Anolis sagrei: one gene and its partner. The protein of the gene in region 1 interacts with the protein of each later gene in a pairwise test. Links are inferred from orthologs where the notes say so. Each region holds a gene or a part of one and is shown on either strand. Other genes may lie near its edges.

What was found.
Region 2: the proteins of LPXN (region 1) and HOXC9 interact in binary tests that used the Homo sapiens proteins (3 or more experiments, as listed by UniProt). The two-hybrid records come from large-scale screens. The link is inferred for Anolis sagrei from reciprocal best matches to the Homo sapiens genes LPXN and HOXC9.

The regions. Positions count from the first base shown.
Region 1 is NC_090021.1:234,535,775-234,543,591, forward strand, and holds the start of LPXN (leupaxin), read right to left. Parts: upstream 3,058-7,817; 5' UTR 2,717-3,057; coding exon 2,704-2,716; intron 1-2,703. UniProt on the Homo sapiens protein: Transcriptional coactivator for androgen receptor (AR) and serum response factor (SRF). Contributes to the regulation of cell adhesion, spreading and cell migration and acts as a negative regulator in integrin-mediated cell adhesion events.
Region 2 is NC_090022.1:189,327,970-189,336,040, reverse strand, and holds the start of HOXC9 (homeobox protein Hox-C9), read left to right. Parts: upstream 1-4,826; 5' UTR 4,827-6,389; coding exon 6,390-6,948; intron 6,949-8,071. UniProt on the Homo sapiens protein: Sequence-specific transcription factor which is part of a developmental regulatory system that provides cells with specific positional identities on the anterior-posterior axis.

The DNA of each region.
Region 1 (7,817 bases):
TTTTGGAAAGGTATAGTTATGAACTCTGTAAGGCAGAACCTATACCTGCAGATTTGCACTTGGGGTCGGGGGTAGTTCTCTACGAATTTTCTAGGTCTTATAGACAATTCTATGGTATACTTCCCCTCTAAGTTGCAATAGAGTTGTGTTGGAGGAACTAGCAAATTAATAAAGAGGGTATCTCTATGTCCTCCAATGCAACTCTATGCTATGCTGGAACAAAAGTGAGGTAATGTAATGGCATTCTGTTGTTCAGGTTTCATGTAACTGTGTTCTGTCCAGGAATGTATTCCCTGTGGTTACAGGGATCTTACTGTACTTGGTATCTTCCTTATCATATATTCCAGCTTATATGTTAGAATACATCAAGGTGAATATTTTACTTGCATATGGTTCATATGACATTGTTTTTATTGATATTAATTAGTTTCAATAGAAACAAATAAATTCTAAACAAAGTGGACAGCATTCAAGAAAAGGAAGCTAAAAAGAAGGACTATTCATATATACCATATATGCCACCAATTTGTAAAGGAGGCACCCAGTTTGTAAAAGTTTATAAAGGAGTCACCACTTTGTCAGGACTTATTAAATTGATAACACAACTGATAGCTTGTAATATTGATTTGGTCTTTCTTCAATGTGTAGCGTGGCTTAACTTAAAAGTATTTGTAACTTGGCTTTAGAAGAAACTGTAACAATTTATTGAAGTATAGAAGAAGCTTGATGGTTTCAATGTTTCTTAACTCTTAGAGGCACATTTCTTCAGTGGTTACATTGATAACATTTCATAAAACAACTCTTTAAACTACTATTCCTTCCACTAAACAGGTTTCAAACTTATTTTCCTTCAAAATGTGTTTCTTTTTTTAACAGGTTACTTCAGGTACAAGCTTATTCTTTCCTTATGTTATTTCTGTTGCAGTAAAGATTCTTATTAGGGTTTCTCTCACCCTTTTTACTCATACACTAACCACTAATCTATATAAGTCAACTTGACCTATCTAAACCTCACAGGCTAAAAGCCTAAACCCTCCTGATTCTCAACACAGTAGAATCAGCCTTTCCCTGTAGTTCTTAGACTACATACTACCTTTCTGGTTCTAAACACACAACAGATCCAGCCTTCCCTGTAGTTCGCTGACTACAGACTAACTGTCTAAAAATGGCTGGCCTGCCAAGTAGCAGTTGGCTCTGCCCCTTTTTCCATGGCAACTCAGCTCAGAGTGAGCTAAGCTGGCTACCGCCCCCCCCCCCCAATAATGCTAGTTTAAATACGTATCCTTTTAAACACCTATCTATTATTATACATAACTCTAGATTAAAATTCACACTTCACCACATAAACCTAAACAGCTCAACGCTAAACTAAACATATGACACATTACTAAAGCATTAATGCATTATAATAGGCATAACCCACTAAGGAATACATAACAAGACCACAAAACACACAAAAAACCCTCTGCCCCCTCACAAGCTGTAATGAGATGGGGAAAAACAATTAGTAAAGAACATGTTAGTCTATCATTCCAGATTTAACTAAATTCCACTTGCTGACAAAATTAATATATTAACTAATTATAGAATTATGATGACAAGGAAGAGGTGCATGTTTAGTTGTATCCATAGTTGGGGCAGGGGGGGCTGGGGATAGGGTTTTTCTCCCTCTCTTTACTTGTGTTCAAGTCTATCCATATGTAGGACAGGTGGCTACATAGGGAACAGGATCTAGAAGCATGAAAGAGGAAACTGGGCAGAATCAGTCCACCATACTGCATTGTTGTATATATAAGAACAACCCATTGGATTCTTTTCAATAAAGCTCTTGATTCCTGTAGTCTCTCATTGCTCTTTGATAGCAACAGCTGATCTGCAGTAGTCTAGGATGCATCTAGACTGTGGAATTGATTCATCTTTAGCCGCCATGGCTCAACTGTATGAAATCATGGGAGTTGTAGTTTTACAAGGTCTTTAGCCACATCTTCCAAAGAGGTCTAGTGCCCCACAATATTACAAATCCCAGGATTCTATTGTATTGTGTCTTGGTAATTAAAGTGTTGTCAAACTGCATTAATTCTAAGAATACAGAAGTGAATGTGGAAATTCAATGATTTTATCCAGCGTAATCTAGAATTCTGAACCTCTTCTCAATTCAACAGGATGCTTCCCCCCCCCCCCCCCCCCCGCTTTCCAGTTAGAATTTGTTATTTGTAAATAACCCATTTTTGGCACAACTGCTTTCTCTGAATAGTCTTCCTCCATCTCTGATATTACCTTCAATAATATTTGTAAATTATTTTTAAGGAACTGATTAGAACAAGTTACTTTAATTTTCACTTCTAAGGTAATAATTCTTATTTCTCTAATTATGAAAGTTTTTCTGTTCCAATTCAACTTTATTCTTCTTGAACGCAAGCGGCCCAAGTAAGATTGTTGCATTTCCTTTTTTTCTTTTTTATAAACTGTCTGTGAGACAAAAATTTAGCTTTTGTCACAAGGCTGTCAAAGGACTCAAAATCTCTGACAGAGGACATTGCTGCAATAGTTGCTTGATTTCTTCACCTCCGTAATTCTCCTCGTTCCCTCCCATGAAAGACAATTTAAGTAAAATGCAATATCCTTGACTATTCTGCATTGAGATTAAAAATCCCATTCCTTTAGTCTTTGCTCTTTGGCCGTTGAGGAGAAAGAGCTACTTACCTAAGTCGTCCATTTCTTATTTGCACAGAAGTTGTCTGACTAACCAGCTTGAGGGTCCCCTCAAAATGACATGCCTCCCAAGCCGTAGAACCAAGGCGGAAATGAACAAGATGGTGAATGCGTGGAGCAGTGGTTTCTACAGAATTCTTTAGTTCCTCTCTCTACCAGGACTTCCCCTCTTTCAAAGCTGAGCACTTTTCTCCCCCTCCTAATGAGTCACATTTTGAAAAGCTAAAAAATGCATTTAAATGGTTGAACAGGAAGTGGTAGCAATCTGATTGTTTCAGATATGTGCAAATCCAACGTGACAGTTGGGTTATCTTTCTTGTCGATAAAGAACTTATCCTGCTGTATCAAGTAATGGCATTTTATGAACAGAGGTTAAAGCACTCTTTGATTTTCTTTCCTGCTGGGATGATGACTGACTGAGGAGGAGGTTGTTGCTTGATAGATGCTAAAAACTTAAATGTCAGTTTTATACACACATTCACAAAGCTTGGAAGTTACTGTTTTAGTTCTGCAGCCTGAATGCACTTTTCTCTAAAGTTTATAATATCTCTTTATATTTGTGATGGGAATTATCCATTCCTCGAAAGCCTCAGCAAGGTTGGCCCTATCATCACACAATTACAGAAGGTGGAAGGGGGAAGAAGTGTATCCAGTGGCTGCAATGTTTATTTATAGTTGGCTTGGACTAGAAGCTGTCTTGCTCTTGGGGCTTTACCACACAATTTTATCAAATTACAATTACAGCAGGACAGCAGCAGAACTTATCAGGTAAGTTGTCATCTTCTGTTGTTCTCAGGGGTGAAGTGAAAAAGTTAAAAGGTGTTTATTTTATTTTATGCTCAAATGGCAAACTGGACATGTGCTGTGCTATGACTGGTTTTTTACTTTCTACTAAGCACAAAAAACAACAACACATGAAACAAGAATTTCAAAGTACTGGACTTTAGAGTGCCCTTCCTACTTGCCAATACTGTGCTATACTAGGGCAGACTGGGCCCATAACCCAATGTCAAGCCAATGTTAGTGCTTCAACAATTTTGTCTGAGTAGTAGAATGTGGAAGCGTATGAGCACATATCTGATTTGGAGACTGGAACATTGTCAACAGAGTCAGGGAAGGAAACTTAAGGCCCCTTCCACACAGCTGAATAAAATCCCACATCTTCTGCTTTGAACTGGAATATATAGCAATGTGGACTCAGATAACCCAGTTCAAAGCAGATATTGTAGGAATTTCTGCCTTGATATTCTGGGTTACATGGATGTGTAAGGGCCCTAGGAAATAAGGAGGAATCTAATCACAACTCTACATGAAATTGGTAGAAAAATATTATGAAACAATATTATGAAGTGAGTTAGGCTTAGAGGAAGCATAAAAATAGTTAAACTAACAATCACAACATTAATTGTACAGGTGAAAATCCAGATTGTAAAGAACTCAAAAAGGATCTCTCCAAAGGCAAAAGAAATGTCAAGTGATTCAGATTCAACAGGTGTCCGAATGCTGTCTTTCCATCAGAATGAAGTAGAAAAGAGAACCAGAGACTTTTCCATTACATTGACTCTGAGGCCCCATCTACACTGCCAGATAATGCTGTTTGAACTGGATTTTAATGGCCAGTATAGAATTGTATAGATTTCACTGCACTGAGCTAGATTATATGAGCCTACACTGCTATATAATCCAGTTCGATGCAGTCAACCTACATTATGAAACTGGATTATATGCCTCTGATGTCCTTGAACAAACTACAAATCCCATGATTCTATAGGATGTAGCCATGACAGTTCAAGTGGGATCATAGCATTATGTTTGTGTAGTCTGAATGGGACAACACAGTCATTATAATGCAGATTGAACTGGATTACATGGTAATGTAGAGTGTTATAATCCAGTTCAATATGGTTTAACCTGCATTATATGGTTAGTTCAAATTGCATTGTATGGCAGTGTAGATGGGGTGTGAGATTAAGGGCCTTTTCAGACTACACAAACATAATGCTATGATCCCACTTGAACTGTCATGGCTACATCCTATAGAATCATGGGATTTGTAGTTTGTTCAAGGACATCAGAGGCATTCCCTGGTTTGGAATTGTAAATGCCCAACCTTCTACAAATCCTGGGATTCCATAGGATAAAGTCATGGCAGTGAAAGTGAAATCATAGCACTGTGTGATGTGGAAAGGCTCTAAATGTATTCAGTTCATTTCCCTGAACAGCTGAACTGTTTCTATTTCCGCTGATCATTATAAGAACTTTGTAAAGTGAAGAATTAACACTTAGATTTTTTTCAGTTCTTTCCTCCTCCTTCTCCCCCCTTTCTTTTTGTCTTGTTTCTGATGGTAAGCTTGAGGACTAAGTCTTTTGATTGAGCTGTAAGCTGCTTTGGCAACCTTTCCAGCCAAAGATCAGAGTTTAGCTGAAGTGCAGCTTAAAATTATTTAAATAAATACACACATAGCTATTGACAGAAATCTCACTGCATGAATTCAGTGATGTGGTACAAAATTACCAAGGAAAGGAAAGGCTTTGGATGCAATCACACAAGGCTGGTACAGCATGACTGCAGCTGAATAATAATAATGCCTGCGGATGTTCTTTATCATACAACTATTACATTCTTCAAGGGATGGATAGTGTTCTTTCACAGGCCCATTTGGCAGCTTCTCATATGCTATGAAATTCCTGCTAAAGGGAGGATTAGTTTGTCCCTATGCTCTCTTTTTGCCAATAAGCAAAAACCATATTCAAACAGTCCTTTAACCTTTAACTATTTGAAGGAAAAGAGTGTGTATTGGGTGTGCTGCTTCTTAACATGCTGTTTGATTTTAAAGTATGTATTTTAACTGTTTCAAGCTAATGTTTTCATTGGATTGGTTATTTAATGGTTTTAAAACCTTGGCACCAAATTTTATTTTATTTTAAACATGGATTTCAGATTGAGAGAGAACTGGAATAGCAATAGAATACATAAACAAGAGAATAGGTGGCCACATGCCTTGGTTATGGGTTTCCTGAAAGAAACTGGCTAATGGCCATTTCTTGAGTCACTTTTAGTAGCCATGTTATTTGGTTGCAACCAAAATAAGACCTCTTGTTATTAATTTGTTCTTAATGGCTATCAAAGTTGGCTTCAACTTACGGTGACCAGATGAATGAATACGTCCTGTCATGAATGAATACATCCTGGCCATCTGTTGGGGTGCTTTGAATCTGATTTTCCTGCTTCTTGGCAGGGGGTTGAACTGGATGGCCCACGAGGTTCTCTTCCAACTCTATGATTCTATGATCTACAGCCCTGCAAATTCAGGACCATTGCTTCCTTGACTACGGATGTTATTCCACTCAACACACCCCTTCCATTTCTAAACAATTCTTAAACATTAAAGAGAAGTAAAACCGACCCTATCACACAACACAGGGAGACTTTCCCCTATTATTCATGATGCTTAGTTAGGGAACTGTTTTGAAAGTGTAAAGAAACTGGGGGGGGGGGGGTGGACAGTTGACAGGGAGCTCAGGAATTGCTTGAAAACTGGAGAAATCAGTGAAAAACATGTGGGATGGGATCTGTCAAATTCACCTGACTTGAATCAATTTGGTTGCATAGGGGAATGGCGTTCTTAGGGTGGTGTTCTACAAAGCAATGATGCCCCAGTAATCTCCCAAAATCCAGCCATAGTTTTTTTTCTTAAATGTAGTCAGTAGAAATTGCAATGCTTCAGGAGATCGTTCACTTGAGTCTAACCTTTTGAAATTGAACTTTCTCCCGTCTTTTCTTTACTTTTTTAAAAACTAGAGTTAGCAATCCATAAAAAAATTGAGAACAGAATAACTCATAGAGATAAATGGGGTCTGCCTTAACTGTACTCACTCATGTGATAAATCTGAAAAGCAATGAACACCACCATGTGATGGGTACTGATAAACAATACAATTTGCTTTTTAATGCAACAGGATTATCATCATAGGCTATCACTAACGGATGAGTATAATTGCCTCCCAAGTGAAGAGTCTTGGCGGTGGGTCCGCAAATGACTGTAGAGACCTATTCTAGATCCACATGATTTTTAGCCGTGAGAACATCAATTTCCAGATGGAAGACAGGCCCGACAAGGTTTGGCTTGATGTGCCCTCCTCTTGACATGTTTCTCCCTTTCACCCCCCATTTGTGCCTCTTCAAATTCCACAGCACTGCTGGTCACAGCTGACCTCCAGTTAGGATGCTCGAGGGCCAGGGCCTCCCAGGTCTTCCCTGTGTCTATGCCACAGTTTTTAAGGTTAGCTTTAAGTCCGTCTTTAAGCCTCTTTTCCTGTCCACCAACATTTCATTTTCTATTCTTGAGTTGAGAATAGTGTAACCGTTTTGGGAGATGGTGATCGGGTATTCAGACAACGTGGCCAGCCTAGTGAAGTTGATGGTGGAGGATCATAGTTTCAATACTGGTGGTCTTTGCTTCTTCCAGAATGCTGGCGTTTGTCCACCTGTCTTCCAAAATATTTGCAGGATTTTTTGGAGGCAACGCTGATGGCATCGTTCCAAAAGTTGAGTGTGACATCTGTAGATGGTTCGCCTTTCACAGGCATATAAGAGAGTTGGGAGTACAACAGCTTTATAAACAAGCATCTTCCCATTCCTAGGAACGTTCTGATCCTCAAACACTTCTTCATTTTAAAAAATGCTGCATTTGCAGAGCTCAGACGGTGCTGCATTTTGGTGTCAATGTTGACTTTTGTGGAGAGGTGGCTGCCAAGGTAGCAGAAATTGTCAACGTTTTCTAATGTTACACAACTGAGCTGTACTTCTGGCATTGAAGAGTGATTGGCTGGTGACTGCTGGGAGAGCACTTTGGTTTTCTCGATGTTCAGTGAGCGGCCAAGCTTTACAATAAACTGAAGACCTCTATCATTGTAGCCTGTTAAAAAGGATATCAAACTAAGAAACATCAAGACTGGTTTGATGAAAATGATAATGAGATCCAACATTTAATTGAAAAGGAAAGACTAAATGCCGTGTTAATATGACGATTCCCTCCCTCATGGAATGAGGTCCTTAATCTACCCACTTTTTCTATTGCCTCCCACTTGAACTAGCATTGCGG
Region 2 (8,071 bases), on another chromosome or scaffold:
TTATTGTCTTCTACTGCTCCCAGCCACAAAAACAGTCTGGAATCCAAAGTCATAACATCTGACAAAATTCTTCGCAGCAAACCAGGGGGCGGGAGGGAAAGGCAGGAAAGCCATTAAACAGGTATCAACGCCTCCCGAGTAAATTTCCCTGGGATGAGCATTTGAGCATTTTCTGGGGTTGCTTCCCTCCCTCCCTCTTCCCCTTTACCCTTGAGTTAAACATAAAGATCACGTCCACTGGAAACAAACCTAAGTGTTCAGTTGCCCGCCATTAAAATACTGGTCCCGGAAAATAAAATTCAAAACTCATCAACTCAACAACAATAACAAAACCACACCTTGATCCATATATTTTTAAGAAATAGAGGTGAATTTCTATGTCCAATTCAGCTACTCAGTTGCAAAGTTCTCCTTTCCATGTTACTGTTTACATAGCTGTCTAATATACTAACACTGCTAGTATTTTTGCTACCACTAGGCTGTTCGATTTTTTCCAAAAATATATTATTATTGTCAGACATCTACTAGCAGTATAGTGGTGTACATATTGCATTTGGCTTTCCATGATAATTTTGGGATCAGGTTTAGGAAGATATAGAATCAAAGGTGCCAAGGAGATTGAGGGTAGGGTTATCACTCTTTTTTTGTTGTGTTGTCGAAAGCTTTCATGGCCGGAATCACTGTTTGCTGTGAGTTTTCCGGGCTGTATGGCGATGTTCCAGAAGCATTCTCTCCTGACATTTCTCCCACATCTATGGCAGGCATCCTCAGAGGTTGTGAGGCCATAAATGTGGGTGAAACGTCAGGAGAGAATGCTTCTGGAACATGACCATACAACATGGAAAACGCACAGCAACCCGCCCTCTGTATTGATACCGTTTCCTCCCTAAAGGGAGAAAGAGAGGGGTGAGGTGGGAGAAAGAGAGGCTGGGAGGGCGGTAAAATCAAGAGAGAAAGAAGGGTTTAAAAGAAACGAACTGATACATTAAATGCATTGCTAAGCCCCTCTACTCGGAAGTAAGCTTTGGAAGGGCCCTTCCTCCCAGGCAGGCTGCAGAGCTCCTTAAAGGAAGGGAAGGAGAAGGAGGGGGCGGAGTGGGGAGTGTGGAGGAGGCTGTTCTCTGCCTTACTCCGCATGGGGAAACTTCAAGGCGCGGACTTTATGCTTAGTTTGCTTTCACTTATGAAGGGCTGTCAACACTGCAACGCCTCGAGTTTACAGCTGGGGAGGCCTCGCAGGGGCTGCGAAAACCCGGGCCAAGGAAAAGAGGGTGGAGGGGGGGGGGAGTAAATCGGAGGGAGGGAAGGGAGAAAAGTGGGATTTCTTTTCTTCCTTTTTTAATCCGAACTTGACGGTGTTTATTGAACCGAGTGGGACACTTAGAGCGAAAGAAGGCGCCACAGGAGGAGGGGGAGAGAGGGATGTGTACCAGGGATGGTGGTACGTTGCTGTGCTCAGAGTTTAGTGGATGCAAGAAGGGAAAGGGGGAAAGAAAAAGACCCCAGATACAACCCTAACCGCCCCTCCGCGAAACTGGGTTCGGCCGCCAGAGACGCACGGGAGCCATTGACCCAAGAGGCCTCCTCCGCTGCTTCCTTGGGACCAAGGCATCAGCTGACCGGTAGCCCCAAGGCGTTTGGGGGGGGGGGTGGCTGAGGGCTAGGGCGCTTCCCTAGGCCTGGAGCCGGTCTCCAGGAAGGGATGGTGTCCGGTAATTGAGGTAATGGAGGCCTGGAGTGCAGAGGAGAGGAGGGATGCTTCAAGGCAGCCAGTGCTTTGGAGTTTGGAAGGAATAAGGTGGTGGCTAATGCAGAGAGGAGGAGAAGGTGAAGCAAAGTTAGATAGGCTTGGAGTCTTGTCCTTTGAAGCAAGAGGAGGAGTCTTCTGACAGAGAGACCTGCAGCGATCCAGTTCTGTGCAGATAAAGATGGGAAGCCTCAAGGAGAATTGTGAGTGTATGAGTGAGTGTGTGTGTGAGAGAGAGACAGGCACTGCATGGGTCTGCGTGTGTAGGAGACTTATTTTCCAAGTTTCCTTCCATGACAAGCTTCCTTTAATCACACAAATATTATATACATATAATACATATATTATATACCCATATGTATATAATATTTGTGTGATTAAGGGAAGCTTCTCTTGGAAGGAAACTTGGAAAATAAATCGCTTACCCTCCTAACAAATGCAGATACGGACAGTGTCTCTCTCTCACACACACACTCACTCACACATATATACATATATATGTATTACATGCATATAATGCATATATATGCATTTTTAAAATGGCGGAAGTAGGTTTGGGTCTCCTACTTTTTAGGCTCACAACCGAAGAGGATCAATAACTATCATCAATCCAGGTCACTCCTCCCTCTCTTGTCATTCACGTCACAGATGACGATTAGAACCCCCCTCCCTTGAAAAAATGCCTGAGATTTAAAATACATTGTTCTCCAAGAACGACCCGCCTCCTAAATAAAATATATAAAAATATATTTAATATTTATTTTATTTCGAGGTGAAGGGAACAGGAGACGCTGGGATGGGCCACGTGGTTGGGAAGGTGATTGGCTTCTATGAGAGACTGAGGGGAGATGCTCCTAGAAATCATCTCAGTCTGTTGCAGTGGCAGGAAGGAGCAGAAAGGTAGTCCCTTCTGCCCTCCAGGTAATTAAGAATTAGGTTATGGATGCCAATATTTCCCCTCTTTGTCCCGCTGGGGAAAAATAAATAAACAAACAAATCTCCAAAAGAAGAGCATTTCAGAATATATTTTTCCAAGGAAGTTTCCTCAAACTGGTAAAATCAGAGGCGTGAAGACACAGACCCGGATGATTTTTCCCTGCAGTTTCCTAGGAGCAGGCGGTGCTGAAGAAGGCAGTGTAGCAATGTTCTGCTCCTTCTGTCTCCAAGCCAGAAGGGTCTCCCATCTCCATCTCTGCGGATCTCTGCTGCTCTTTTCCTCTCTGTTGCGACGGCGGCTGGCTCCCGGTCGCAGGACCCCTTGAACGAGGAGGGCTTTGCACTTACAAGCCTCTTAGTAGGATCGTTGGCTGTGAACAACCTGCCAGCGTGAAAGGAAACTGGCTTGGCGTTTGCCATCTTCTTTGTCTTCTTCTTAGGCTGCAAGGCTTTCTTCCCTTGGATCGAAAAGGCACCTCTCTCGGCAGTTGGGTTTCTTTGGGAGGTGCTCCATCCAGCAATATTTGAATGACCTTGCTTGGTTGCATTAAGGTTACCAGCAGGGTTTACTTTTCCACGCCCTCTCCTTCACATGATCCACTCGTCTTGGCGTGTGTGATATTTAGGTTAGGCTTTCTTGCCTTTCTGAAATTATTCTTTTTTCTTTCTCTTTCTTCCTTTTCTACACAGATAGGGAAAATCAGTGTGTGTCTGCATTGGCTCTGTGTGTGAGAAGGAGATAGAGATTTCCTCGTTCATTCCCTGCGCCTTAGTAAACAGCATAGCCTTGGAAGATTTATATTTATATATTTGCCCAGAAAATTGGATTTCTTCCTGGAACTCGAGCAAACGTTGAATCCCTCCCACATACTGTATGTGTGTATATATCTTTGTGTGTGTGTACACAGTAATATAATATAAGAATATAAAATAATATAAATATAATAAATATAATAAATATAATATAAATAATATTATAAATATAATATAAATATAATATAAATAATATTATAAATATAATATACCTCCTCGCATTGTGTGTGTACTCCCTGCCCTGAATTTGTGCACAGAGGAAACATTAAAAAAACAAAATGGTAAAATAATAAAAAAATACAGAATGAAATCACGCTCGGTTAGGAACTCTGCTTTACGAATTCAGATGAGGGGAGAAAAAAGAAGTCAGTTGAGACCTTTGATTGACAGATAAATTGAACTCCAGGCAGGCCAAAGGACACCTTAAAAAGTTCCTATAGGAATATTTCCCTGAAAGAAAGTGCGAGGCTAAAAACGGTAGCAGAATAGCAGGCTGGCGAGGAGAAGGGGGAGTTCAGATTTCACAGCAAGACTGCTATCGAATCTGGATTTCTTGGACACACATGCACACCCCAGAGGGAAGAGAGGAGCACATCCCCATCTCTTTCTATTTAAAGGACGCTCCTTATGGAATGAAATACTGTTCCTTCAGACCAGTTAGGGAAGGCTGGGCTGCAGTGAGCCAGGACTCCTGAATTAAGATGTACTGGGAATCTTGAATCAGCTTTAATCAAGCAACTTTTCCAAAGTCAGAATAATAATAATAATAATAATAATAATAACAACAACAATATCACAGCAACCCAATAATAATAACAACAACAACCACAATGACACTCAGTAGGGCTAATAATCAAGATGATGACGGAAGAAGAAAGAGAAAGAATTTCCCTGGATTTACTTCATTTTCTCCTCCTCAGATCCCCCGAGCAAGGTGTCTAAAGGAACCCATTCTTGTTCCTGAGTCTATGGGGAGCCTGGCGCTGTGTGTTGGGGTGTCAGTTCACTGGTGGATCCTAGGTCCCTGTGGGACACATCCCTTCTCTTTCTCTGCTTCTCTCTGAGACCTCCATACCGTTCTCTGCTTCGACTTTTTCTTGAACCTCCCTCTCCTTTTGTTGCAAAATTACCGCACCTCCAAGCCGATTCTGCTACATACACTGGAAACTGTGAATCCTCTTTGACAACGTCGGGGGCAGTGGGGGAGTCTTTTCGTGTTGTTGTCCTTTTGGTGGTGTTCTTGGTGTTGCACCATCCAGTCAATATTATTATTATTATTATTATTATTATTATTATTATTCTGACGCAAAAACACAGTATGTCATAGCAAATGAGATTATTATTATTATTATTATTAGGAGAGAGCTCTCATTTTACAGATGTTTTCCCCCAGAAGAAACAAGCAACTCTATCCTTCCAGATTTCTCAAGGTACAAGCTAAATAAGAGACACCTACTACCTTATTCTGCCAAAGAATTGTTGTTATTTGTAAAACACACATAGAAAGAAGTCTTCAGGTGGAGTTCTGACAGCTATTTGGTAAAATGGGGAGTGGGTTGCATAATAAGATTAATTTTTGATTTTTCTTCTGCTGGTGATGGAGATGATGATGGAAGAAGACAACCCAAGCTCTTCGAAACAAGCACCCTCCCTGTTTCCACATGCAAATGTCCCTCACTCCCAGCCATGCCTTCTCACTGAAACTTCCTCGTACAGTTTTATTTAATGAACGACACATTTATGAACAATCAAATGATCCTCGTAAAAATTTTATTGAAGGACATAAAAACATCCACCACTACTTGCAGAATAAAGCTGCCTCACACAAGAGGAGAGTCCTGTGTTGTTGTTGTTTTGGAGTGGGGGGGGGGGGTTGTTATGATGATATTTCCATTCATGTTTTACAAGGTCATCCTCCCTGAAGAGAATCAACACACTCAAAGACAAATAAGCACCCATGCATATAGATAGGTATACATAAAGAGAAAGGCATGTGATGCCTAGAATGTCTTGCTGCTAAGTAGGTTGACAAATATGCATCTCAGGGTGAATGACAAAAGGTCCTTTGATCAGCCAGAAGTAGCTGACTATATATAGTCACATACATGAATATATATATAGATATATGCAACACACACATACATATTCATATGTGGGTGCTAGCAGGCGTGCATAGAGAAAGAGAAAGACACCCCTAAATGATTATATATCCATTCATGGGCTGCTGCTGCAGAAGAAGAAGAGATGAGCCAGCAGAGCAAACTCTGTCAGGACCTTCAACCGACCCCCTCCTCCTTTGCCCCTTTAAAGAAATTCCATGTAATGTATCCATTATAGAATACTAGCTGGAGAAGCCAAGAGAGACCAGACAGAGACAAATTGCGTCAAGAAATAGTTCCTGTGATACCTTGCTACACCAGATACCTAGCCCTCGCACACACAGGCACACAGCCTCTCTCTCCCTCTCTTTCTCCCTCTCTCTCTCTCTCCCCCCTGTCTCTCTCTCTCTCTCTCTTTCTCATTAACAGCAGAGCTATGGAAAAGCCAGGTCGCAGAGCGAGCCCTCCAGCCAGCGAAGGAACAGAGTCGCCTCTCAGCGAATGGCACGTAAGACCCAACTGCTGCTAATAGCTGCATTATTTCAAGAGTTTTGATGAAAACCTAAGTCGCATAGGCGCTATTTAAAAAGAGAGAGAGAGAGAGAGAGGAAAAAAATTGAAAGCGAGGGGGAAAAAAAAGACCTGCGGATTGATCTACACTGTATTTTGGGTAAATACAATCACGTGAGCGCTGAGAGCCAATGGCAAGCGGGGAAAGGCTGAAAAAATAATTACCTGCCCTGATTGTTCTATGAGAAGATAAAAAGTACACATACAGTTCATACAATAATCTTATGAATGTAAAAGAGGGGGGAACAATGTCGGCTTCGGGTCCCATAAGCAACTATTATGTAGATTCCTTGATTAGTCACGAAAGCGACGAACTGTTGGCATCCAGGTTCCCGGCGACTGGCTCTCACCCTGCGGCAGCCAGACCGTCAGGACTAGTACCGGAGTGTGCCGATTTTCCGTCCTGCAGCTTTGCCCCCAAACCGGCCGTGTTTACAACTTCGTGGGCGCCCGTGCACTCCCAGTCGTCCGTGGTCTACCACCCGTATACCCACCAACCTCACATTGGAGCTGACACCCGGTATATGCGCACTTGGCTGGAGCCTATCTCTGGCGCGGTTTCCTTCCCAGGTTTTCCAACCAGCAGCCGGCACTACGGGCTTAAACCCGACGCCTTCCACGGCCGCAGGGATTGCGGACCCGTGGATGCACGTAGTTACCCGGATTATATGTACGGATCCCCGGGAGATCTCAGGGACAGAACCCCGCAGACTATTCCCTCCCCGGAATCTGAGGCCATCGCTTCCAACAAACACAAAGAAGAAAAGACCGAATTGGACCCTAGTAAGTCGAAGTCATTCTTGTTTACAACCGGGAAGGCATTACAGCCCTCCCTGGCACAGTACTCAATAAAATGAAATTACCTTGCTGTTTAGGATTCTTGGAGTCCTTGCCTTGAAGCTCCAACTGGACAAGGCTGGTGTGGTTGTTGTTTGGAAGGAAAAGGAAAAGCAGAGTTAGAAGATCAGCAGTGTTTTGGGGGCAGAAGGGAGGCAGTGAATATTGTTTGTGAATATTATTGATGATTATTAAGGGTATTATTAAGGTGGGTGGGTGTTTTTCCCCCCTTACCTTTTCCTTTTCTCACCTTCGCATGATCAAATATTCATAACCTACCATGCCCTCACTTCCTTGCCCTTCGTCCTTCAGACTTTTCAGGAATTTGGGAAATACAACTGACTGTGGCAAGGAGAGGTTATCTTAATAGTATATGCATTACTGCTATGATTATTTTAAAAGGAGATAAGGGGAAAAACCATCAGAGAAAACTCACCCTTGGATTATGGGTCAGATGGGCTTACATAATCCTAGAAGATGTCTGAAATGTTTGGGTTGGGAAAGAGAGACAGAGAAAGAAAGAAAGGATAAGGAATGACTGTAGATTATTAAAAGTAAAATTGAGCAAAATATATATATATCTGAGTTGAATAGATGGGAAATGCAGGCATGTGTGTAGGAAGAGAAGTGAACCATTCCTTCTCCCTCTGTCTTTCAAAAAATGTTCTACAGTTCAACTTGCCAGCCAAGGGAGCTAAAGGAAGAAATACCCTTGAACATAGTGAAAACCGCCGGTAGGGCATCCAAAGGATGTGTCCACTAGTAGTTTAAAAACTCATAATTCTTCTCCCCAGCCCACTGGTCTCTTCCTCGTGGACATAAGCCATTTAAGTGCAGGGGGAATTGTTTCTGGGCAATTGGAAGTCAAGGCAAAATAGTGGGGATCCAGCTCACCAAGAATGAATGTTCCCTTGTGTGCACCTCTGATTATATTTTATGTGTGCATTTTTGTGCATGTCCTACACAGAGCGAAAATGGGCTCACATGGACACATGCACACTCCACAATCTGCCCCCCATGCCAGGTGTTTACAAAGCTTTTTATGGGCCTAACAATATGATCAAATGCT